Macaca fascicularis: one gene and its partner. The protein of the gene in region 1 interacts with the protein of each later gene in a biochemical or structural test. Links are inferred from orthologs where the notes say so. Each region holds a gene or a part of one and is shown in the gene's direction. Other genes may lie near its edges.

Evidence for each region.
Region 2: the proteins of ANXA1 (region 1) and S100A11 form a complex in vitro, tested with the Homo sapiens proteins (2 studies listed by BioGRID). The link is inferred for Macaca fascicularis from reciprocal best matches to the Homo sapiens genes ANXA1 and S100A11.

The regions. Positions count from the first base shown.
Region 1 is NC_088389.1:103,843,765-103,856,170, forward strand, and holds the start of ANXA1 (annexin A1), read left to right. Parts: upstream 1-6,550; 5' UTR 6,551-6,610; intron 6,611-12,406. UniProt on the Homo sapiens protein: Plays important roles in the innate immune response as effector of glucocorticoid-mediated responses and regulator of the inflammatory process. Has anti-inflammatory activity.
Region 2 is NC_088375.1:109,111,683-109,123,974, forward strand, and holds S100A11 (protein S100-A11), read left to right. Parts: upstream 1-4,773; 5' UTR 4,774-4,878; coding exon 4,879-4,881; intron 4,882-8,011; coding exon 8,012-8,164; intron 8,165-8,988; coding exon 8,989-9,150; 3' UTR 9,151-9,310; downstream 9,311-12,292. UniProt on the Homo sapiens protein: Facilitates the differentiation and the cornification of keratinocytes.

The DNA.
Region 1 (12,406 bases):
TTCTACTGTGCACTTACTGTCCAAAATAGTGCAAAAAAGGTGTCTTTTCACTTCAATTGTAAACAATTCTGCATGTTCTTGGAGGTGCACATCAAGGGACTTTTTGGTGATCTTTAGATTTGTAGGTGCACTGCTACTTCACGAAAGAGACATTCTGGCCCATCCATTGCCTCCCTTAAGACTATACAAGCGTCTAGACCCAACTCTACACAGACCGGGTGGCTTAACAGAATTTTATTTCCTCACAGTTCTGGAAGCCATGAGCCCGTTATCAGGAAGTTAGCAGGGTCAATTCCTTTTGAGGCCATGAGGGAAGTATGTGCCCCAGGCCTCTCTCCTTGGCTGTGGATGACTGTCTTCTCCCTATGTCTTCACATCATCTTCCCTTTGACGATTCTTGCCAGTGCTGTTTCTTAGTCTCTGCCCCTCACCATTGCTCTATTTGTCCCACCAGAGGACTAGGGTTCATCTCTTTCCTCCTATTAAATCTCCAACCAGGAAAGGAAGATATGAGGAGATCCTGAGTGAAAGGAATGGCCCTCATCTCGAAGGCTAGTTACTCTTTCTCTGTACCGGTTTACCTGTTCTCCCAAATATTCTGGAAGCTTATTCCATCAACTACTCTGTTTTGTTGCTGTTGTTTGTTTGTTTTCCTGTGACTTCCCTCTTCTTTTATAGCTCCTTATGGTCTACCTGAAAACATGTTCAGACTTCCCAATGCTACCTCACAATTATTATCTTGTTACTCTCTTTCGGTTTTCCACCATTTAGTGAAAGCGTGTATGTCTAAGAGTTGCTTACACTTAACTCCATATCCTCAGCTCCTATGGTCTTCTCAAACAATTTCTCTCCAGTGTGTTTCCAAAACCCTTTATCCTTAATACCACCACCTCTTTCTTAATTTCCAAGTACTAGAGCCATTTCTAAATGACTTCCTTTTAGAGCCTCTTTCTAAATGACCATTTTGTATCCTTTGGCAATGTTTTTCACAGCTTTCTTCCTGACACTTTCGCCTACAGTTGCTTCATCAGGATGACATTCTCTTGGCTTGCTTTCTGCCCCACTTAATTATCTTCTTCTGTGTGTTTTTTATTTTATTAGTTGCTGCCAAATGACTCTCAAACCAACAAGCAAACAAGCACCAGCAATATATGAGTGTATCCTTTTCTAATAGTATTTACCATTATTGCCAGTAAAGGTGTTACAGAAAATTTGAGGTGATCACCAGCCTGATGGGTATATATCCATATCCGGTCATTTCTTTAAACACTATTTCCCTCACCACTGTAAATGTGAACAACTTTTGCTGTTTGTTTGGCAATGTGGATTTGCATATCTGCTGACTCGGAGGCATTTGACTGTACTCAGGTTTCATCCATTTTGTTGTTGTTTGGGTTGCTTGCTTTACAATTTATAAGAGCTCCTGGTACAATGTAGATAGTAACACTTTGTTAGTGCATGTAAAGAAATTTGAAGTTGTTGTAAGAATCTACTGATTTTGCTTATTTTTTCCACTTGAGGATTTTTATTTGCCTATATTCAAAACACCTCTCACTTCTTTTATAATAGCAGGCTTTCAGCCACAGATTAGAGTCTCCCAACACAGAGATTATGTATATTATTCCCAGAATAGATCATCCTGAATAGTGATCTTTTGCCAGTTACTTTTAACAAAGTATAATCATATTCGACTTGTAAATGAGAAAATGAGATTTAGGATTTATCAAGTTTCTCTTTGAAAGAAAATGTCATTTTTCTATTGGATAATAATCTATTTATAATAAAGTTAACCAAAATCCACCCCAACCAATGCAAAGCAAACATTTATTGTGACTTGGTCTGGAAACCTTTCATTACAAATTTAGCTACAAGATATTTACAGAATATCTTATAAAGTTTATAGTTTGTTTTATATATTTACTCCCATTTTAATTCTAGATCCATCCAGATCCATGTTTTTTATTTTTTAATATAGCATAAGGATCCAGCTTTTGTTTAACTATTCCAGTTTAAATAATTGTTTTAAATCACTTTTTAAACCTATTGAGTTAAAATAGAAATTGAAAACAAAATTATTAAATTGAAGGATATGAATCTTTGGTTCATGTCATAAATCCACGGAGTTGTCAATGATTATGTGAAGACTTTCTGTATTTTTTGTGTTCTGATTACATAACAATTTTTGAATTATTGTATTAGAAATTATATGGTACTGGTATATCTTAGAAAGTATATAATCAAATGAACTTTCTTCTTTTTCATTAATAGACTCTAGTTTTTAGAGAAATTTTAGGTTTACAGAAAAATTGAGCAGAAAGTACAGAGAATTCTCATATACTCACTTTCCGCCTGCTCTTAGTTTCCCCTATTACTAATATCTTGGAATGTTGTGGTCCATTTGTTTTATTGGTGAATACATTATTATTAGCTAATTGCCATAGTTTACATTAGGGCTTACTCTTCATGTTATACATTTCTATGCGTTTTGCCAAATGCAAACACCATTATAGTATCATACAGAATAGTTTCACTTCCCTAAAAATCTCTTTTATTTTTCTGAGACGTAGTCTCGCTTTGTTGCCCAGGCTGGAATACAGTGGCACAATCTTGGTTCACTGCAATCTCTGCCTCCTGGGTTCAAGTGATTCTCCTGCCTCAACCTCCTGAGTAGCTGGGACTACAGGCATGCACCACCAGGCCCAGCTAATTTTTTGTGTGTGTTTTTAGTAGACGGGGTTTCATCATGTTGGTCAGTCTGGTCTTGAACTCCTGACCTGATAATCCGCCCGCCTCGGCCTCCCAAAGTCCTGGGATTAAAGGTGTGAGCCACCATACCCAGCCCACTTCCCTAAACATCTCTTATTTATTACTCCTCTCTGCCACCAACTCCTGGCAACCATTGATCTTTTCAATTTCTCTATAGTTTACCTTCTCCGGAATGCATCTTATTGGAAAGAAACAGACATAGCCTTTTCATACTGGCTTCCTTTTCTTAGCAATACTCATTAATGATTCCTTCATTTCTTTTCCTCGTTTAAAAGCATTTCTTTTTATCACTGAGTAATATTCCATTATATAAATGTACTGTAGTCTATGTATTCATTTACCTCTTAATGAATGAGAAATATCTCAGTTGCTACCAATTTTTGGTAATTATGAATAAATTGCTGTAAGCATACATGTGCAGGTTTTTGTGTAAACATGATTTCCTAACTCATTTGGGTAAATATCTATGAGCACAATTGCTAGATTGCATTGTAAGACTGTGTTTACGTTTGTAAGTAACTGCTAGACTATTTTAAAACAGCTGGAACCTAGAAAGCAGAGTTTGACCTTTTGACCTTAACACATATCTTAATTTTCCTTCTGTAAAACTTCTTGAAAATGTATTAAAGTAAAATTTGTCATCATAGTGAATGTGACAAGGTCTTATTCTCTTACTTTAGAATAATATAGAGAGGGATATGGATACTATATTCAGGGAAATAGAAAAAGACTTGTGAAATACAAAATTACTAATCCTAGCATGATCCTGATGTTGGAAGTATAATAGTTGAATCATCAAGTCATTGGCTGACTTTTCCTAAGTCACACAGTGATAGATACTAAGCCATCACTGAATCTGAGTTTTTATCTTCTCTAAGACATTCCACCCACAAAAGGAAATATAGAGAGGCAGGGAGGTAAGATCTTTTTCCCTAAGTGAAGTCCAACAAAGGCACCTCCCTTTGGCTTTCGCTACCCACGTGACTACTTCATTAACCTGAAAGAGTAAAATTTGAAAAAAATTCTGTCTTTAATTTATGTGAATAACTGAGGAATAATAATAAGGAGAATCCCAATAACTCAGTGTGTGTGTGATAATTATTTGCCATGTTAAGAGGCAAAGGGAAAAACATTTATATCACTAGTTCTCAAAATGCTTTGACCTGGGGACACATGAGAAATACACACTAAAATAATGATTTTCACTGGCTGTGGAGAGGGGTATGAGGAAGCTGAGGGGAGATTTTGGAATTTCAGTGAAATGCTGTTCTTGATCATTCAGAATATACCCTTTCTTCCATATAACAAGTAATGCTTAGATAGAGCTGAATGTAAAGGATGAGGGGACACCTTACTAAGATCAGATATTTTGCAAGAGTCTTATGCACAATGAGATGTATGTGAGAGACTCCATATTTCCTCTCCTTGTTTTGTTTCGTTTCCTCTTCACTGTCAGATTCTAAACCAAATGAGTGAAAATAAACATGCTGTGAAAAACGTAACATATAGTGATTGATTTTAACTGTCTTTTTTCTTTCCTTCTCTTTCTTTATTTTCTCTGTTTGTAAAGTAAGCGGAGCCGATGAATCATCATCTTCTAGAAACAGCAAGTGGTGAGTCATTTATCTGGAGTATGTGGCGTTTCACCCACAAAAAAACATTTAACCCATGATTATCCCCTAACTGTTAATGATAACGTATTTTACTTGTTCTTTTATTTCCATAAATCTACTCGACATTATTATTGTGTGAAGAAAAAGATTCTGACAGATTATTCACAGCAATATACCTAGATGATTAGTGGCTTTCTTTTTGTTTTATGTTTAGGAGTTTCACTTGCCTTTAGTGTTACAGCTGGAAGTTAATTTTGGAAAAACATTCTTTTCAGTTTTTTTCTTAATTCTGCTACAATTACCATGTTTATTGTTGATATTTTAGGTTTGTCTATGTATTACAAATCTAAATACATAAAATAATTCCATTCAGTTTATGGCACTGGTAATAGCAGCAACAAAACAAAATGAGACTATATATGTGTTCTAGGTTGTTATATTTTATAAAATGTAAGTGAACTTTTTTCTTCATTTCACAAGAGCGTCACTGTACAGGAATGTTCCAATAGTTCCATTACCAGAGTTAGGAATACAAATGCAAATTAAAGACAAAAAGAAAACCAGATTTTGTATAATTATCTTATTCCTTCTCACCTGATGACATAAATATGGTATTAGAAAGTTAGTCTACATTTGTAAAGATCAATGTGCAATATCAGTTAACTTGTTAGCAGATAACTAATTATTTTTCAACTTACACATATGATAGTAAAAACATATATTGACATTTTCTGAAATATTTAGATTAGATGATCCTCCTACTTCAGGATATGTTGACTTCATTGATATTGGCCTTGAGAACTTAGACTGTATTATAAAATACTGTTGATCTTTACAAAGTATTTTCATTAACTTCCTGAACTTGATGTATTTTACCTGAGATATCTATGAGAAAAAGAGGAAAAGAACAAACCACCAAATGTAGCATAAATTGAGCCATAATGCTGTGAGAGTTTACACTTGTGCACTTTAATGGAAACATCATATAATATTTTGTTGGGTTTCACGAAGAATGAAAATGAGCCACTATGGAAGTTACCAGAACCAATTTTCCTTCCATCAGGTGGGAAATTTCTTATGGAATGTGTTCTGTAATAGTTGCTGATCCAATAATCTTTTCATTTCATAGGTCTAGTTCCTTGTTTTGTTGTTCAACTAGTTTCCATGTCAAAGATCTATGCGTATCAAAATTTATGCATAACTGATCTATATTACAATTTATATATACAGTTCTATGTAACTGACTCTATTTAAAAGAATTAATGTAGATAGGCCTTTTAATGTCAATGCTTTCATTGAATGTCATAATGATCAAATTTTTGGCATTACCTTTGTTCAAAATTTTTAGCCAATCTGGAACTTTATTACTTCTATATTTCTTATAACAACAAGCTATATCTAGGAACAAAAGTCTTTTGTTTTTGAAGGCAAAAAAAATATAAATAGAAAGTCATTCGGCACTGTGTAATGTTAAAATTTACAAATATTATGTTATTTCTCCATTGTCACAAGAATTCTACTGGATAGACAACTTAGATAATGCCCCTATATACAAAAGTAAAAACAGCTAGGCATGGTGGCTCACACCTGTAATTCCAACTCTTAGGGAGGCAGAGGCAGGAGGATAGCTTGAGCCCAGGAGTTTGAGACCTGCCTGGGCAATATAACAAGAACCCATTCTCCACTAAACGGGAGGGAAAAAAGACAACAAAACAAAAGTAAAAACAGGTTCAGGAAAATTAAATATGTCCCTAAAGTCACAGAATAATAAGTGGAGGTGGAATTCACATGTAAAATTTTGTTTGTTTAGTTTTGAAGGTAACATACTTTTTTTAGTCTACAACCTATTTAACTACAAAAGTGTGCCAATCAGTGGTATTAGGATTGGGGCAGATGTATACTCTGAAAATAAAAGTGCAAAATAAATATACCATCTGGAAATAAAAGTGCAAAATACAGAGGGGGGAAAAAATCAGTCCTTCCATTTATTTTCCTTTGTAATGCCAGTTGAGTTGGTTTAGTGAGTAGTTTTGCAAGACTTGTTTCACTTTGTTTTTGGACATAGCTGAGCCACGTACTTCAAACAGAAGGCAGCCAATTACTAACTTCTGGTTGCTAGGTGTGGCTTCCTTTCAAATCCTATAAAATCAGGAGCCCAAGTCTCCACCGCTAGTGTGAAATCTTCAGAGAAGATTTTCCCCTTAGTTCTTTGCAAGAAGGTAGAGATAAAGGTAAGTCTTGGTTTTCCTTTTAGTTAGTTTTGGTTGTTTTGAAAACTTTTCTCATCACTATGTTAAATGTTACTGCTTCTACAGGATTTATGGTTAGTTGCATTTAACATGATAAGTCATTCATAAATCTTTCTGTAGAATTACATTGGATATTTATATTTTAGGAATCACAAATTACAATGTTTTTGTTCTTCTTAGTTAACAAATACAAGTAAAAATATGATAAGTTTGCTTAATACTGGCTCATTGTACTCTTGGTAAGTTACCATGAGAAAGAAGGAAAGAATGTGCTTTTCCTTTGGTAGCCTTTAAAGAATGTGTTTTTCCTTTTCTTCCCCTTGAAATATTTCTTCCCAAGAGCTGTGTGTGTTTTACTGAGAAATCATGATGGGGGCTGCTTTTTGGGGGCAAGAACAAAAGTGATAAGAGTGAGCTGCAGGGAACTGTTTCAAAATAGTAGGACTTTCATAATTTATTTTCCTCTTTTGTAAGGAAAACAAGATAGATCAGACCTCAAAGTGATAATCATGCCCTTTGTAATAAACATTTTTAAATATATGTTATGTTTGCTCGTGCTATTTAAATTAAAAATATATGTTATGTTTGCTCGTGCTATTTAAAATAAGAAGGTCCGCTTATTACTTGTTTCATTTAAAGAGGGTGTGGTCACATTCCTTTTCTTGGAGGCTCTGTGTCATATACAGGCTTTTCAAATGCTGGCTGGAAAACCTAAGAAGGGAAATACTTACTGGGTAATGTCAGATACATTAGCCTAAGGGAATGTTAGTAAGGCCCTCTAACAGCTATTCCACTTGAGTGTTGCATGAGCTAATGGCCATAAAACTCCTTAGAAAAGCGCAAAGCAAAACTAAAGAAGAGTATTTACTGGTGTTGGATATATTTGTAAAAGTGAGATTACAAATCATGACCATATATCTGGGTATTTTTTCTTAAACATATTCCTTCAAAGATTTTTCTGTTTTTTCATTTTAAATGTTTATTAAATGTTCTGATTTCTTATGTTCACTGCTAGTTAATTAACAAGGATGAGATTTTTCCTGCCTCGATTATGTCTAAAAGATTGTATAAACTTTGAAAAAGCAATGTTACCCCCTTTCCACAGGAGTATTTTGGTAGCTGTGAGAGAGTGCACTTTGCAAATGACTCAAATGTGGTAAAATGTTGGTTTCATAATTCTGAAATGGCCTCTTCCCCAAAAGTGACATTACCACCCTAGCTCCAGGCTCAACCACATCTGGCACATAGTCAGCATTTAACAGATGTTGACAAAATACTTAAGAATAATATTATTAAGGAACCAACCAGAGTTTCAGGCTTATTAAATACTTTTTCAACCAAAATGTCTGCAAAGGTTGATTTCTGAAGATGACATTAGCTCTCTCTAGGCCTATTAATTTATGACATTTAAAATAAGAGCTAAACCAGTGGAATATTTTCAATGATAAACTATAAACAGTTTTTTGAAGTCAACTATTTCCTTTTCCTTTAAAGTTGGAGAGAATTTCATCAGGAAGCTCAGAACAGATCCAATTTACACAATACCCTCCTTCATTATGCTAGTTTTCTTCATCTTCATCCACTTGAAGTAAAATTTAAGATTGGCACTTCAGAGCTGTAAATGGATCTTAGATACTAATTACTTCAACATTTTTATTTTATAAACGAAGACCCTCTGGAGAAGCTAAATGTTTTTCTTGAGGTCAGATGCCAGATAATCAAGAACTAGTACACTTCAATTTGTATTTTATATCCTATAGTTGTGGGGAGAAAATGTTTGTTAAATTAGTGTAGATATGTTTTTAAAAATATTAGCAATGATACATGATACTCATTCAATAATACTTATTAACATCCAGAATTCCAGGCATTTTGCTAGGTATTGGAAGTACATACATAATGAATATTATTATGTTAGCACGGGCCTCATGGCCTGCTCCTGGGGAATATAAATAAACCAATGGAAAGTGATAATACAGAATGGTGGGGCTGGTGTAGGGGTGAAGTCAGGATGCTATGGGAGAGCATGGAAGGTCACCTAATCCAAGACTGAGGAACGAATGAAGGGTTTCTGAAGAACATGATGAGGTCAATGCTGACGCCTCACTTAGGAGTAGCTATTAGTTAGGCAAAGAGAACTGAATGTGGAGAAGGAACAAGTATTCCAGGCAAGAAGAACACCCTATCGAAAAGCTCGGAAGCAAAACATTAGTGAGGCTACCTTTCATAAATTGCTTTTTGTAAATCATGCCATTGTGTAGTCTTAATTGCCTTCTCTCATCAGGAAAGGTGTGGGAAGGACTTGTGAAATATATATTCGAGGAAAAACTATGCACAAGGCATGCATTTAAAAATAAACTCCCTAAGGCTGGGTGAAACTTGCCATGGTCTGCACAAGTTGACTGTTAATGAATTTGATTCTCAGGTGTGAGTTATTAAAAAGAACACTGATCATGTCGTTTTCTTTTTGGTCACTAATTTAAAAGAATAACATCCTTCCCTCCTTCCTTCCTTCCCTCCTTCCCTCCTCCCCTCCTCTCTCCTTCCTTCCTTCCTTCCTTCCTTCCTTCCTTCCTTCCTTCCTTCCTTCCTTCTTCCCTTCCCTTCCCTTCCCTCTTTCTTTCTTTCTTTCTTTCTTTCTTTCTTTCTTTCTTTCTTTCTTTCTTTCTTTCTTTCTTTCTTTCTTTCCTTCCTTCCTTCCTTCCTTCCTTCCTTCTTTCCTTCCTTCCTTCCTTCCTTCCTTCCTTCCTTCCTTCCTTCCTTCCTTCCTTCCTTCCTTCCTTCCTTCCTTTCTTCCTTCCTTCCTTCCTTCCTTCCTTCTTTCCTTCTTTCGAGTCTTGCTATGTAGCCCAGGATGGAGTACACTGGCATGATCTCGGCTCACTGAAGACTCCACCTCTTCCTAGGTTCAAGTGATTCTCCTGCCTTAACCTTCTGAGTAGATGGGACTACAGGCACTCACCACCATGCCTGGCTAATTTTTGTACTTTCAGTAGAGACGGAGTTTCGCCAAGTAATCTGCCCACCTTGGCCTCCTAAATTGCTGGGATTACAGGTGTGAGCGACCATGCCCAGCCAAAATATACAACACTCTGGAATCAAAAGGGATGGATTTATGTCACCAGTCTTACCAGTACTAGCAGGAAGACTGCCTGAAAATAATACTCAGTTTTCCCAGATAGAAACTGAGGATAATGATGAAAGGCTGTTATTCCAAGCAAGGGTTAGTTGTTGCTGTTACTATCATTGCAAAACTCTGATAGTTCTAGATTGTAACCAGGAAGATATAATCAACCACAAACCTCAGCTTCCTCTGTCACAAATACTAGAGGTAGCCTTTCAGGAGGCTGAGAGATGGAAAAATGAAGGGGGTTCTCTTTTAGGACACATAAATATGCAAAAAATGCTACTCTTTAGAAAGTTATACATTCAAATAATAGATAAGTTGACATTGGTAGGCAATGCATATTCACAAAAAGACCATTAATTAGAAGAAATGTGAAATATTGTTAATTTCCTTATAGATTAGCCTATGTATAAATGGCTAATTTCACTTTCATTGAGCTCATGCTAAGTACTTAAATAAACTTAGTTTTAGAGCTTATTGTTGGTTAGTTGAAATCTGTATTGAGTTAGTTAAAATCTGTAAGTTGATAGAACAGGCTCTTTAAGATCTATTGCAAGCTTTATACACTGCAAACAAAAAGACAGAAAAAAGAAAACCTTTTGTGAACTCATTGGCACAGGTAGATTTTCATGCAGAGTATAGGTACTGAGAGTCAGAATGGCTTATGGATAGAATTTGGCCAATATATATATAAAATGTATTTGGTATTTGTTAGATGTATTATAATTATTAGGAAGCTCAGTTAATATGTGCAGTTGGCTTTGGGCCCTTAACCAGCTGTATGTGATAAAATCTGTTTCCTTTAGAGCAATTTCTATATCCTGCCTTGATGCTCCTGTCTTTAATCTTTGCTAAGAGCTAGTGGTGAATTTGGCTGAATTCAGATTCCGTTTTTCTCTAATTGATTTCTTGAAGAAAATTCTCTATTGGCTGCTTTTCTTTCCTAGATTATGCTTTTAGTCTATCCAAATACTTCAGGCTGGAATGTAGGAACTTAAAAGATATAAATCACAAAGCTATCTCCTCTAGGGATGCTCTCTCTGTCAAATAAGTGACTTAAACTACTTATTTTTGTTATCTTGTATTGTGTAATTAGTATACCTTTTCCTAGGCTCTGTCTAGCTTTTTTTTTTTTTTTTTTTAAATGGACATTATTCAAGTATTTTTTAGAAGTAAAAAAAAAAAAAAAAAAAACTACTATGGTAAAGTTTTTGTAAAGTTTATTTTGAAGTTATCAGAGACACCTTTAATTTTAGACTGGACTATATCTTTAGTCTTTGTTTTGCTTTCTTTTGAAGTTTTTATTTGCTATTTGAAAAGAATGGAATTAATGAACATGTTTTTATAAGTGATGGAGTAGTACTTTACCAAATGATGAATTATAACACTTATTTTGATGATTCTTCTTTATCGAAGGCTTGGATGAGATGATGAAAATGGAAATTTAGAGTGCCTGAAGCTGCTAGAATTGCTTTTAAAGTATTGGGTGTGTCAATTAAGAAGTTGGAATATGAAACTCCATGTGGCAACCGCAATTGCACAGACTAGATTGTAATGGGAACTAAAACCTTGTGCAAAATTGCACGTTGTTACTTCACCTCAGGAAACAATTTTAAATTTATCGATTAAATTTAGGAAAGAGGCAACTTTAAATGAGTGGAAAAGGTATTGGTTCTTCTCACAGATGACAGAATAGTAATAAGAGCAATCCCATGAGAATTAAGTGGAGATGGTTTCTACTTTGGATATTATTTTCTTCATGCATTCAGTGTTATTACTTGGAACTCCGGTTATTTTTTAGCAGGTGTAAATTGAAAGGGTTTGTCTGAACATGCTGTTGTGGAATTAGTTTATGGGTTTTATGCCTCATGAGTCACTTATCTTCATATCAAGAATTTAAAACTGCCAAGATTATCCTCTCAACCTCTCTCGCAAGTATTCATGAGAGTAGTCTCTAGAGGGGTGAAACAGAATGGTGTGGATAGACAGATCAGTGTAGACCTTGAGCAAGGCCTCTGAAAAACGTCCCCAGACTAAAAGGATCGTGATGGCTTTTTATGTGTGTGTGGCCAAAACAGAGAATACATTAATTTTTAATATATCTAAGATCTTAAAAATATATGTCTCATTAAATAAAAATATTGCCAAGTCATGATAGCAATTCAAGAAATTTCCTTTAAGATAGAGTTTGCCAAAAGAACATGCATGTTACAAATTTCACCTCTAGGCTTCCCTTTAGAACCAAAAATCCTGTATAAAGTAATCCTTTTCTGGGTTTTTTGTCTTGGGTGGAAAAATACATAGGACTACTATTTAGACAGCTCAAATAGGATGAAATGTGAAGACAGCAATTATTTCAATGCTGAATAATTTTATACCAAGAAATAGAAAAGGAAACTAAATTATTCAGGGAGAAATATCACCTGGATATCTTTTTATAGATAAAATTTTAAATCTGAATTCACTTGTACAGGTTGTCACAGATTATTTTACCTTATAAATGTAATCATTGTCTGGGAGCGGTGGCTCACACCTGTAAATCCAGTACTTTGGGAGGCCAAGGTGGGCGGATCACCTGAGGTCAGTAGTTCAAGACCAGCCTGGCCAACATAGTGAAAACCTGTCTCTACTAAAAATACAAAAATTAGCTG
Region 2 (12,292 bases), on another chromosome or scaffold:
TGTTGGATCATTTTCCTCCACTTGCTCTATAAATATTGTTTATTCACCTAGGTTGAGCTTGTCGAGCAGCATCTGAACAGAGACTTCATCTGTCTTGTTAACCACTACAGCCTCCGTGCTTAGATAGCTCTGCACGCATGAAGATTCTTCTTATATATCTGCTCAATGAATGAGGGAATGTTGGAAATACTGAAGTGAACAGGGCACCACCTCTGCCCTTAAGCAGCTTGGAGTCCAGTGAGGAAGATGATTAAGTAAACATAAAATAACAGTAGAGTATGATACGAATTATGATACAACGAGCTATGGGAGAACATAAGATAGACACTGGACATGCTTAATTCCTCTAGCATCGAATTGTCCCACTTACCTCAGACTCAATTTGATCAATATCAAACCATCATCTTCCCTTAAGCCCCTCAAAATGTTATTCAGTTTATGTTCTCTATCTTGGGGATGGTACCACTACCACAGGGCTATCAAGCTAGAGTCCTAGGATTCACCCTTGATGCCTCCTTCTCTCTAATGCTCCACAGCTCAACAGTGGCCAAGTTAGGTTGGTTTTGCCTTTTCAGTATTTGGCAATTCCTTCTCCCCATCTCCATGGCCATCTCACCTTGGTTATTGCAACAATATTCTAATATTCTTTGCCTCTAGTCTTTCTTCTTTCTAGAACATGTTTTTTACACTTCCAAAAGTGAAGGGGATCACATCACTGTCCTGCTTAAAAATCTTCAGTGTTCCTTGATACATAACCCTCAGGTTACAATCCAAACTTCCAAGTGTATCTCCTAATGAGCTGACCCTTATCTCTCCCATCTCACATCCCACAGCTTCTGCCTCACATTTAGCATCACCCCACACCCTAAAGTCTGGTTCTACTGAACCACCTGCAAGTACTGAGAACATGAACAATGTTTCATCCCGAACCTTAATTCTACACAAGCCACTATGTAAAACTTCCTCTGAAGATAGTGCTGTAAGTCCTAAGCATTTTACATGAATTAACTCTTAATCCTCACAACAACTACTATTCTCTCAATTTTACAGATGAGGAAACTGAGACACAGAGCCAACATATAACTTGCTAGATTTCATATCACTAATATGTTGTGACAGCAACATATTAGTGACGGGAATTTGAACCCCAGTCTCATGGCAGTCTGTGGCTGTAAATACTGTGCTATCCTGCCTGAGTTCACCTATTTTCACTACCATGTTCATCCACCTGGTGAATCCTTATTTACCCTTCAATACCCACCTCAAGCAGCACTTTTCCAGGACACTTTCCTTGCACTCCCGGAGTTAACCTGTCATTTCTTTCCTGGCATTGTCATTGAATCTTTGTCACACCCTTGCTATTGGGTTTGTCACATTGTACTGTGTCCATTTCAGAATGAACCCAATGATACACAGAGATCAAATTGCACATAAGAATTACCTTGAGGCATGGAAGTTCCTACCTTTATTTCCTGAGCAGCCCTTTTAATCATCTGTATATCATTTTTGTGTCTTGCTGTCAGTTTACCAGCTCTCACTCATCCTCAGCTCCTTGCCGGCTCCAGCCCTTCAGTTCGATTCATTGTTTGCCTACTTTGTCAAATCTACCTTGCCTGCTACCTTTCCTGAACTCTCCCTCCTTTGACTGGTAACCTAGAAATGAATCCCTTTCAGCATGACCCTGGGGAGCAGCTGTCAGGCAGGCAGCCCTAACTGGGTGGGGCTGATCCCCCAACCTGGCTCTGGACAAGTCATACTTATTTGGTTTAGCATTTTTTCTTTTCTTTTCTTTTTCTTTTCTTTTCTTTTCTTTTTTTTTTTTTTTGAAACGGAGTCTCTCTCTGTCGCCCAGGCTGGAGTTCAGTGGTGCTATCTCAGCTCACTGCAAGCTCTGCCTCCCGGGTTCATGCCATTCTCCTGCCTCGGCCTCCCGATTAGCTGGGACTACAGGCGCCCACCACCACGCCCGGCTAATTTTTTGTATTTTTTAGTAGAGACGGGTTTTCACCCTGTTAGCCAGGATGGTCTCAATCTCCTGACCTCGTGGTCCTCCCGCCTCAGCCTCCCAAAGTGCTGGGATTACAGGCGTGAGCCACCGCACCTGACCTAGCTTTTTTCTTTGGTTTCATTTAAGCTACTTCATGGGGCTGAAGAGTTATCGAAAGAACAAATGTCATAGAGAAAATAAGAAGAACTAACAACTAGGTTTAGGAAGAACAAAAACGCTAATGAAGTCAGACTGCAGGCTCTTCACTCCCAGTGGTTCATCGTTTTCACAACTCAGCGAACACCCAAGTAGCTTTTTCTTTAATTTACAGTTAGCAATTGGCTTACATTCCCCTCTGTGTATTTCTTCCAAATTTCATAGCTTCCACTTACTCATGATGTCTTCTCCATAATTTTTATTTGCCATGACTTCATGTTCTGTCTATGCAAATATTCAGCTTCGGCTCTTCTAAATGCCTAATTCTCTATGTGCTTCTAATTTCAGCTTCCCAAGAACAAGAAGCTTTTCGGCCCTAGTTCATCTTTCCGTGTTATGTCATGAAACATCTACTACTGGCCATCCTATAGATGGGCAGTGCTGGTGTCCAGAGCTAACCTCAACCCAATCCACTCTAACAGGGTCACAGTGTGTCAAATCATGCAAAACTTGGCCACCTGGGCTGCCCCTTGAGCAGAGGCTGTAAGTGAGGCATTTTCTCTTAAAAAGAACTGTAGTGGCTGGGCATGGTGGCTCTCACCTGTAATCCAAGCACTTTGGGAGGCCAAGGCGGGCAGATCACGAGGTCAGGAGTTCCAGACCAGCATGACCAACATGATAAAACCCGTCTCTACTAAAAATACACAAAAAATTAGCAGGGTGTGGTGGCACACACCTGTAATTCCAGCCACTCAGGAGGCTGAGGCAGCAGAATTGCTTGAACCCGGGAGGCAGAGGCTGCATTGAGCTGAGATCACACCATTGCACTCCAGCCACCCACCTGGACAACAAGAGCGAAACAACATCTCAAAAAAGAAAAAAAAGAAAAGAACTGTGGTGTGAAAGGCCCCATGATTGAGTGATGGAGTAATTTAGACAAATGATTCCTTAATATTTTGGGATCATAAATGTTTCTGAGAATCAGATGAAAGATATGGATTCTTCACCAGAAAAATTTCTCTTATGCAGAAAATTTACGTATAACTTTAAGGTATTAAGGAACCCCAGCAGCCACTCACGTAACACCCACCACCACCAAAGGTTTGAAGTCTATTACCTGGCACTTGAAAAAAATTGTGAGTCAAAAAGGCAATTAGACTCAGTGGCTCCAATGCTCTCAAGCAGGGAAAATGGTAGAGTGATAGTACCCTTAGCAAAGAAGAAGAGAAAAACAGGTTTGGGGAAAATTAGTTATTCTTGAACTGTTGAGTCTGAAGTGCAAGTGGGACTCTCAAGTGGATTCATAAACAAGTAACTGAAAATGTGGGTCTGGAGTAGCTGAGAACTGAGATGGAGATTTGTCTCATGTGCTCAGGGCACCTGTGAGAGCAGGTGCGGGGAAGCAGTTCACACAACGCCTACAGCCCATTATCTTTCATTCGAATCTACTCTGCAGTTTTTGGAGACCTTTCTAAGCCCTCACTTTACTTGACAGTCCTAACAATCTTATGAAACAGGAAAGGCCTATCTCAAGACCTATTACACATAAGGAAATAGAAGCTCAAAGGAGTGACAAGTCTTGTCAAAAGTATTGCAATGAAGTAACAGACACAAGACTGGAACGCAGGGCTTTTGATTATTAATACAACTCCCAATTTAGTTGCAAACTGCACACAGATAAATGCCTTACTAGCACGGATCAATTTTTAAGTGCAGTAGTTTGGTTTTTGGATTTTGTCTTTGCGGCTGTCCTCAGTTTACAGAAAAGTTTGAGAGAGAGGGGTGGCAGTCGTCCCTTGACAATAATCCCATGGCAATTGATTTGGCAATACTCACCACTGTTTACTGTTAAATATCTTCTTAAATATCTTCCCTGTGGAGCAATAGACAGCCCCAACTCCTACAAACTTGTCTACAATTCTGACCCACACTCTGTCCTAATGCTCTTGCTTTTGTTTTTTGTTGTTTGTTGTTTGTTTGTTGAGACGGAGTCTCGCTCTGCCGCCCAGGCTGGAGTGCAGGGGCGCTCACTGCAAGCTCCAGCTCACTGCAAGCTCCGCCTCCCGGGTTCACGCCATTCTCTTGCCTCAGCCTCCCGAATAGCTGGGACTACAGGCGCCCGCCACCACGCCTGGCTAATTTTTTGTATTTTTAGTAGAGACGGGGTTTCAACGTGTTAGCCAGGATGGTCTCCATCTCCTGACCTCGTGATCCGCCCGCCTCGGCCTCCCAAAGTGCTGGGATTACAGGCCTGAGCCACCGCGCCCGGCCCACTATTGTTTTTAAAAGAGACCTTTCTGCCTATCTAACCTAAATGCCCAGAATGAGCTCATGAAAGACCCACGGACATGGACAGACTTCCTGAAGACTACTGTGCAAAACTTGTAAATCTACAAAGTCAAAAATCTTCAAGATTCACAGGACGGGGTGGAGAGGGCCGGGGGGAAAGAGGAGGGAAAAGAGGGAAAGGAGGGAGAGTGAGACTGCTTAAATCTCTGGAGAGGACGGTGGGTTTGATTCTTAAAGCGCAGTTCTGTGGTTAGCGCAGGCCGCCGTCCCAGGCCCAGCCCGGGAGGCGGGGCGGGGCGGGCGCGGAGGCTGTCTGAGTAAGGCCTGGGCAAGGCTGGGCCGGGAAGGGCGTGGGTCGGGGAGAGGTTGCAGACCCGCACGCCGCGCGCACAGAGCTCTCAGCGCCGCTCCCAGCCACAGCCTCCCGCGCCTCGCTCAGCTCCAACATGGTAAGCCTCGCTTTTCTTCTTCTTCGTCTTCTTCGTACATGAAAAGAAAAAGAATTTTAAAAAACACACACATACTTCCCAGCCGACTTTATCTTTGACTTATGTGTGGACGTGGCAGGAAACAGCAGGAAAAATCAGCCTCGTGGGATGGAACTAAGGGAAGAAGGGATGGAAGGAAGAAGCCCTAAAATCATCCCTGTGGTGACAGCCTAGGGTAGCAGCGGAGGTTCTTTAGCCTTCCCAGTCACGACAAGGCCCGGGGCTGGGAAAGAGGAAGTGCTGGCAGCTCACCGCGCGGGGGCGGGGACCAGTCCTGGGTCCGTGCCTGCAGCCCCTCGCCCGTGCTCTCCCGGGAGCCCAGGGACGCCTAGAAGCAAGTTGAAGGCAAGGGGCTGGAAAGCTGCGAAGGGTCACTAGTTATTTCTGTAGACCAGAAAAGGGACATTTTAGAACTTGGTCGTCTAGTCCCAGGAAAAATCAAAGTTTCAGTAAGCAGCCGGCCGACGGCCAAGACCCAACGGGACTGAAACTTTAGCCCGTCGCCGCCGGCAGCACTGCGGCCAAGAATGTGGGAGGAACCCGGTCCCAGCTGAGCCCTCTCCTTCCTCTTCCTTTTACCCCACCATCTTTTTAGGGACTCGCTCCGTAACTTATTTTTCTCTTCTTATCTCCTTTCATCTCCCGGTTGAACTCGTATTTTCCATAATTACACCTCCAAAATCTCTTTCTTTACCTCTCCTTAGTGAAGAGAGCCAGCAAACTTTGGCCTGCGGGCCAAGTCGGGTTTTCTGTTCTACCCACAAGCTAAGAATAAAATTTACGTTTGTAAATGGTTGAAAGAAATCAAAAGAAGAAAAATACTTTCTGACATGTGAAAATTATGTGGAAATCAAACTTCAGCGTCTATAAATGAAGTACTGGAACACAGCCACGCCCATTCCCTTCCATACTGTCTGGGGTTGCAGTCCTGCTACAGCAGGGACAGAAAGCTCCGGAGGGTGTTGGTTAAGAATGAGAAGACAATAGTTGAGGTTTTTAAAATTGCTACTTCCTTTTCATTGTATTTTTTTATTCTTTCCTCAAATGTTGAGCGCTTAGCATGCATTTTAAAAATTATTTCACAGTATCCGTTTATCATAATGTTTGCTCCTTGCTATCGCCATCCCCACCAAATAAGACTCCAAGAGTGCCATGAGGTGTGGCGAGCACCTGTTCTCTCCTTCAGCCACGGCTCCACCATGGGCAGAGCTTTTCGGTCTCTGGGCGTCCTCAGGACCCATCTCCAAAGTGCCCTGGAGCTCTAAAGATTATGCCATTACATTTTAGTAATTTGATAATTGTATTTCTTTCTTTCACTTCGGAGAATTACCTCTGGGAGGAAATGCAAAGAGGTTTTAATTTTCTTGTGGCTGATAGCAACAGCAACAGTTTTCAAAAGAAGGTAATCTCTAAATTACATCAAGACTGATGTTAAGGAGAGAAAAATGTGTAACAGAAAGGCACTGTGAAACTGGAAAACAAAACTGTCTGCATTCTGGAAGGAAAAGGGGCAGGGGGAGAATCTGTAGTTCCAGAGAAAGGTGACAAAGCCCACGCTCCTCAGCCTGGTGTGGCCTGCCAGCCAGCCTCCTTCCTGTCATCTGATACCTTAGTAAGACAGGGAGATTTTAGGCCTGATATAAAGGGCATGTTGTAACAGAACAAACACATCTGTTTCTAGGCTGTGGTATTTTGTTTCTCCCCTAAAGGCCCCTGAACCTACCAACACTTTTCTTTTTTCTTCAGGAAAAGTTCAATTTAGGGCAAAACAAAAAAAGTCATTCTCCAATCATGTGATTCTTGGGTAAAAGTCCACCACTGTTAGGGTTCAGGGGTTCTAATGCTGTAAGATGCAATGGGAGGCAGGATCTCAGCTAGGATCTCTGTAGCATAAAGGCTGTACAGGAAGGAGGGATCAATCTGCAGCTGTGTAGCTAAGGGCTCAGATCAGTTCTTAGCTCGTGTGAATTACGGAGTGAGAAAGCCTGTAGCTCTGAGCTCCAGGAAGTCCATCCTAAGAACAAACGAAAGGCTAAATGCTAAATTGCAAATGTCACCATCCAAACATAAATCATTGTTAATGCTGGGAGGTGAAGTCTCAGAGGAAGGGTGTGGTCAGGCCGGTTTCCCAGGAAGTCTGTAATTGCGGCTTCTATCCACCAGAGGGAGCCCAACAGCTCCTCACTTTTGGGACCCCAAGTCCCTGCTGGAATAACCGGATGACTGGGCCCTGTAGAATTTCCCTGAAAAATTCTGCTGTGAGGAAAGATGAGCCCAGTACAAGATTTAAATATCTTACATTGTAGATGCTGTGTAAGCAACAACCTGAGAGCTTCCTGGTTTGGAGTGACCTCCAGAGAAGCTCCACCTTCTCTGTCACTATTTCTCACCAGGAAGTGGAAGCCTGCAAGGCTAAGGACTGCAGAACGGGACTGAGAGGCCCAGATTCCAGGGCTGGCTCTGTCATATCCATTTCCTTCTCCTGTCCGTTTTCTTACATCTAAGATTAATGATTCCTAACTCTTAAATATGAAAGCCATTTTCAAACATCTAAAAAGTTCTCTCTCCCACTGCATACACAATGATAGCTATGCTTTTAGTTTTCTCTAAGGAAATGTGTGAGTCCCAGGAATTTGGTATTGCTTTAAAAAGAACTGACATTTCATTAATCACAAAAGCCTCCATACACTCTTGGAAAGTTGGAAATTATTAACCTATAGACAGTGCTTGGTGTGCATATGGATTTGTGGATATAGAGTTACACATGTATTTATCCACACATTCTAAAAGTATGAGTAAACCTTGTCACCCTCACTCTCATCTAGGCAGTCTACTGCTTTTAAACATGCCGACAATGCCCCACATTTACCCTCCATATATTTCACCTGGAATAAACATGTGGAGGGGGTAGGACGGAAGGTCACAGAGTGTGACTTTTTGTGGTTGTCTTGAACCCCTCAGCCCCCTGAAAAAAATGACTCACTCTTTTGGGAAACTGCTTTGACCTGAAATAAGATTCCGTGGAGTTTTCTGCAGTATCCAGCCCTTGACATCTTCCCTTGTCTGAGCCCTGCATTTTTTTTCTCCAAAGGCAAAAGTCTCCAGCCCTACAGAAACTGAGCGGTGCATCGAGTCCCTGATTGCTGTTTTCCAGAAGTATGCCGGAAAGGATGGTTATAACTACACTCTCTCCAAGACGGAGTTCCTAAGCTTCATGAATACAGAACTGGCTGCCTTCACAAAGGTACTGGTCCCTGTCTCCCCCACTTCCCCAAAATACCCACATCATGAAACGAGACCCTGACAGAATGGCCAGGAATGAAAGACCAGCAACTGACGCCCCACACTCTTGCTTCATTTTAACTCACTCTAAGCCAGGAGTTTTTCCATTTAGGAAGAGAGATATATGAAATGGTATATGACATAATGGAATTGTTTTCAAATTTTATTCTTACACCCCAAAGGTTCTAGGGCAGCCCTGTCCAATAGAACTTTCTGCAGTGGTGGAAATACATTCTATATCTGCTCTATCCAGTATGGTAGCCACCAGCCACATGTGCCCACTGAGCACTTGAAATGTGGCTAGTGTGACTAACAGACTGACTTTCTAAATTAGTTAATTTAAATGTAAATGTAAATAGCCATATGTAACCAGTGGCTCTAAGTGTGTATCTGCGTTGGCAGCTTGGGCAAGTGGAGGATGAGAGTGATTAGGCAGGGCCTGTGGCCTTTTTCCACCTGGACCCGTTGCACTTTTATGCAGTTTATCTATTGGAGTTGCATGCAACACTTGAAAGAAGTGTTCCGCTGGCTTTACAAAACTGAATAGCCCCTAATGTCATAGAAAGAGCCCTGGACAAGGAGTGGGAAAACCTTTGGTCCAAGCCCCAGGTCTGCCCCTTAGGCAGGTCACTTTACCTCTTTTAGTCTGTTTCTGCATCTGGAAAATGGGAATATTAATAATCCCTATCCTGTACCTTATACTCCTGTGAGAATAAAATGTGGCAGCATATTTGAAAGCACCTTAGAAGATGCAATATAAAGGTATAATTATTATCATCTCTGCAGAACCAGAAGGACCCCGGCGTCCTTGACCGCATGATGAAGAGACTGGATACCAACAGTGATGGACAGCTAGATTTCTCAGAATTTCTGAATCTGATTGGTGGCCTAGCTATGGCTTGCCATGACTCCTTCCTCAAGGCTGTCCCTTCCCAGAAGCGGATCTGAGGACCCCCTGGGCCTGGCCTTCAAACGCATCCCCTTCCTTCCAGCCTTTCTGTCATCATCTCCATAGCCCACACATCCCCTGAGCCCAGCATACCAACCACCTCATGCAGGCCCCACCTGCCAATAGTAATAAAACAATGTCACTTTTTTAAAACATGAACTGGAGAGTTGGTGAATTTGTGCATGGGAGGGTGGAAAGTGGGAGGAATATAAATTAGATTGATAGAAGCTGCATAGTAAATAAGAAAAATGCATCTTGGGTGTATACATAATCATGACTAATAGTACAGCCAGATTCATTTCTAAATTGTTGACTGATGGAGAGATGTCACTTATTGTCATTGTTTACTCACTGCTACCCCTGTTGGCACTGTCAGATCCTGAGAATACAACCAGCAAGACAGACAAGGTCCTGCCTTCACTGAGTGTAACTTCTAGTTGCAGGAGGAGAGAACAATGACTAAATAAACAAAGGACTATCAGAGTATAATAAATCCTAGGAAGGGCAGATTACAATTATGTTACAGATTCATGGGGACAATGAGAGGGCACTATTCTGAGGACATGCCATTTGTGCTGAGATAAGAAGAACTAGAAAGAGCAAACATTTGAAAAGAAGGAGAAGGCATTTAAAGAGAAGGAATGGGAAGGGCAGAGGTCCTCCAAAGATGAGAAGGATCTGGGTTGTTTGTGGAATAGAAAGGAGGCTCGTGTTGCCAAGGTCTTCATGTTTGGCTTAAGCTAGTGTTAACACTAGTTTTAATTTTCTAAACCCTCTGATAAAGCAGCAGGGAAAGAGAGCCCAGAAAGAAGGTAAGAAGACTGACCCAGGGTTAAAGATGACAGATTAGAGGAGAGAGAAAGGGGCAGGTTTGTGCAATGTGCAATTATTCCTAAGAAGCACAGGGAAGAACTGATGTGTTTCCCGAAAACTTCTGATTCCTTATCCATTTATATGAGTTTTAACTAATTGGCAAAAATTTCTCTAGATCATGGTTTATTCCTTCATAAATTCAGTGAAATGGATTAGACCACATCTGAGGTCATTTTTGGCTCTGACATTCCAAAATGAAGGCCAGCGCCTTAGGGTGAGCCACTGCCTCAGCCGTTTACAGTTGTCTCAGCTATACCTGCAGCAACTGCAATTATCTTCAGCACATTTGAATCATCAAGTCTTTGAAAAGAATTCAATTTGACTTTCATAAAGATAAAAACTATCTCTTCACACCCATATTTTACTGGTTTATGGGATAATTAATTAAATTATACCTTACAAGAAAAACGGACCGGGTGCGATGGCTCACGCCTGTAATCCCAGCTACTTGGGAGTCTGAGGCAGGAGAGTCACTTGAACCCAGGAGGCGGAGGTTGCAGTGAGCCAAGATCGCACCACTGCACTCCAGCCTGGGCATCACAATGAGACTGTCTCAAATAAATAAATAAATAAACAAACCATGTTGTATTTGAGATGTGTTCCTTGTGTGTGCCTGCTCCTTGTTTTTGCAGCATCCATCTCCCCTTCTTCCTGAATCAAGCCCTGCTCTGCACTCCCCATCTCTTGGTGTTCTTAGTTTGGGTAGGGTTCTTCCCCAGTTCTAAGAGTCAAGGATACACCTATGCCGAAACTAATGAGTGCCCTGCATTCCTTTGGACACAGCAATTGGCCGAGGGTGGTCTTGTGATCTAAGCTGGTCAAAATAAAAGGAATCTCAGTACCTTCGCTGAAAATTCTGGGATAAAGGCAATTGCTTATTCCTCCTTCTCGGTGGATTGTAATCTGAGAGTTTGTAGCCTTAGACATGCCAATAGCCATCTCAAGACAACAGGGAAGGGATCTAAGAGTGGAGCCAACATTGGAGAAACGGAGCCAAGAAATTTTAAAAAGATACCAACTCCTAGTGCTACGCTAAGACCCTTGACCCACAGAAACTGTGAGACAGTGAAATTGTGTTGAGTAATTAAGTTTGTTGTAATTTGTTACACAATAACAGATAGCTAACACACAGTTGTAATTCTTAAGCTGTGCTAAAGCTAAAGCTGTGCCTTGACTGTGCAGCTATATGAGTCAATATGTCCCTGCTTTTGCTTAAAATAATTTAAATTGAATTTTCTATCACTTGCAACAATAAAAATCCTAGCTATGGGATATTAGGTTAAACAGATGAACTGGGAATTTGAGAAAGAGAGAGCCGAGCTGGAGATATAGAATAGTATGTCATCTGCACATAGACCAAAGTCATGAGTTTGGAGGTTACCCAGGGAAAATGAGCAGAGAAGAACTTCCCAAAACATGGTCTCTAATCCACCTGCATCAAAATCGTTTGGGGGGAGGGTGTTTTAAAGGGCAAATTAGGAAGTAAAGGCAGTACAAAGTAGTCTACTCCTTTGAAAAGGTTGTGAAGTGATGAGAAGGAAGAAGGTAGGATGTAGGGGTGGGACGGTATCTTCATAAATTTCTTCCGGTTCCCATTATGTCAGTGTTCCCATTCTAAGAGCTATCTTTACTCTTAAATTCTTGCAATACAGCTTGTGGTGAGCGAATGCTAAGATAACCCCCAATAATCCCCCATTCTCATATTTACATTCTTGTGCAATCTCCTCCCCCTGAGTGTGAGCAGGACCTATGACACGCTTCTAACCATTAGAATACAGCAAAAGTGATGGTATGTCACTTCCACAATTTGGTTACATAGGACTGTCTTCCATCTTGCCAGCAGGGTCTCTATTCCCTTCTCAGCTTGTACGTTTTAATGAAGCAAGTCTGGAGAGGCTGACGTGGCAAAGAACTGAGGATGCCCCTGAGCAACAGCCAATTACAAGCTAATGTTCCCAGGCTAACAGCCCTCGAGAAACTGAATCCTGCCAACAACTATGTGAGTTTGGGAGCGATTCTTTCCCAATTGAGCCTCAGGTGAGACCCCAAGCCCTGGGCAACACCTTGACTGCAGCTTTCTAAGATACCCTGGGCTGAGGCCGGGCGCGGTGGCTCACGCCTGTAATCCCAGCACTTTGGGAGGCCGAGGCGGGCGGATCACAAGGTCAGGAGATCGAGACCACGGTGAAACCCCGTCTCTACTAAAAATACAAAAAATTAGCCGGGCGCGGTTGTGGGCGCCTGTAGTCCCAGCTACTCGGGAGGCTG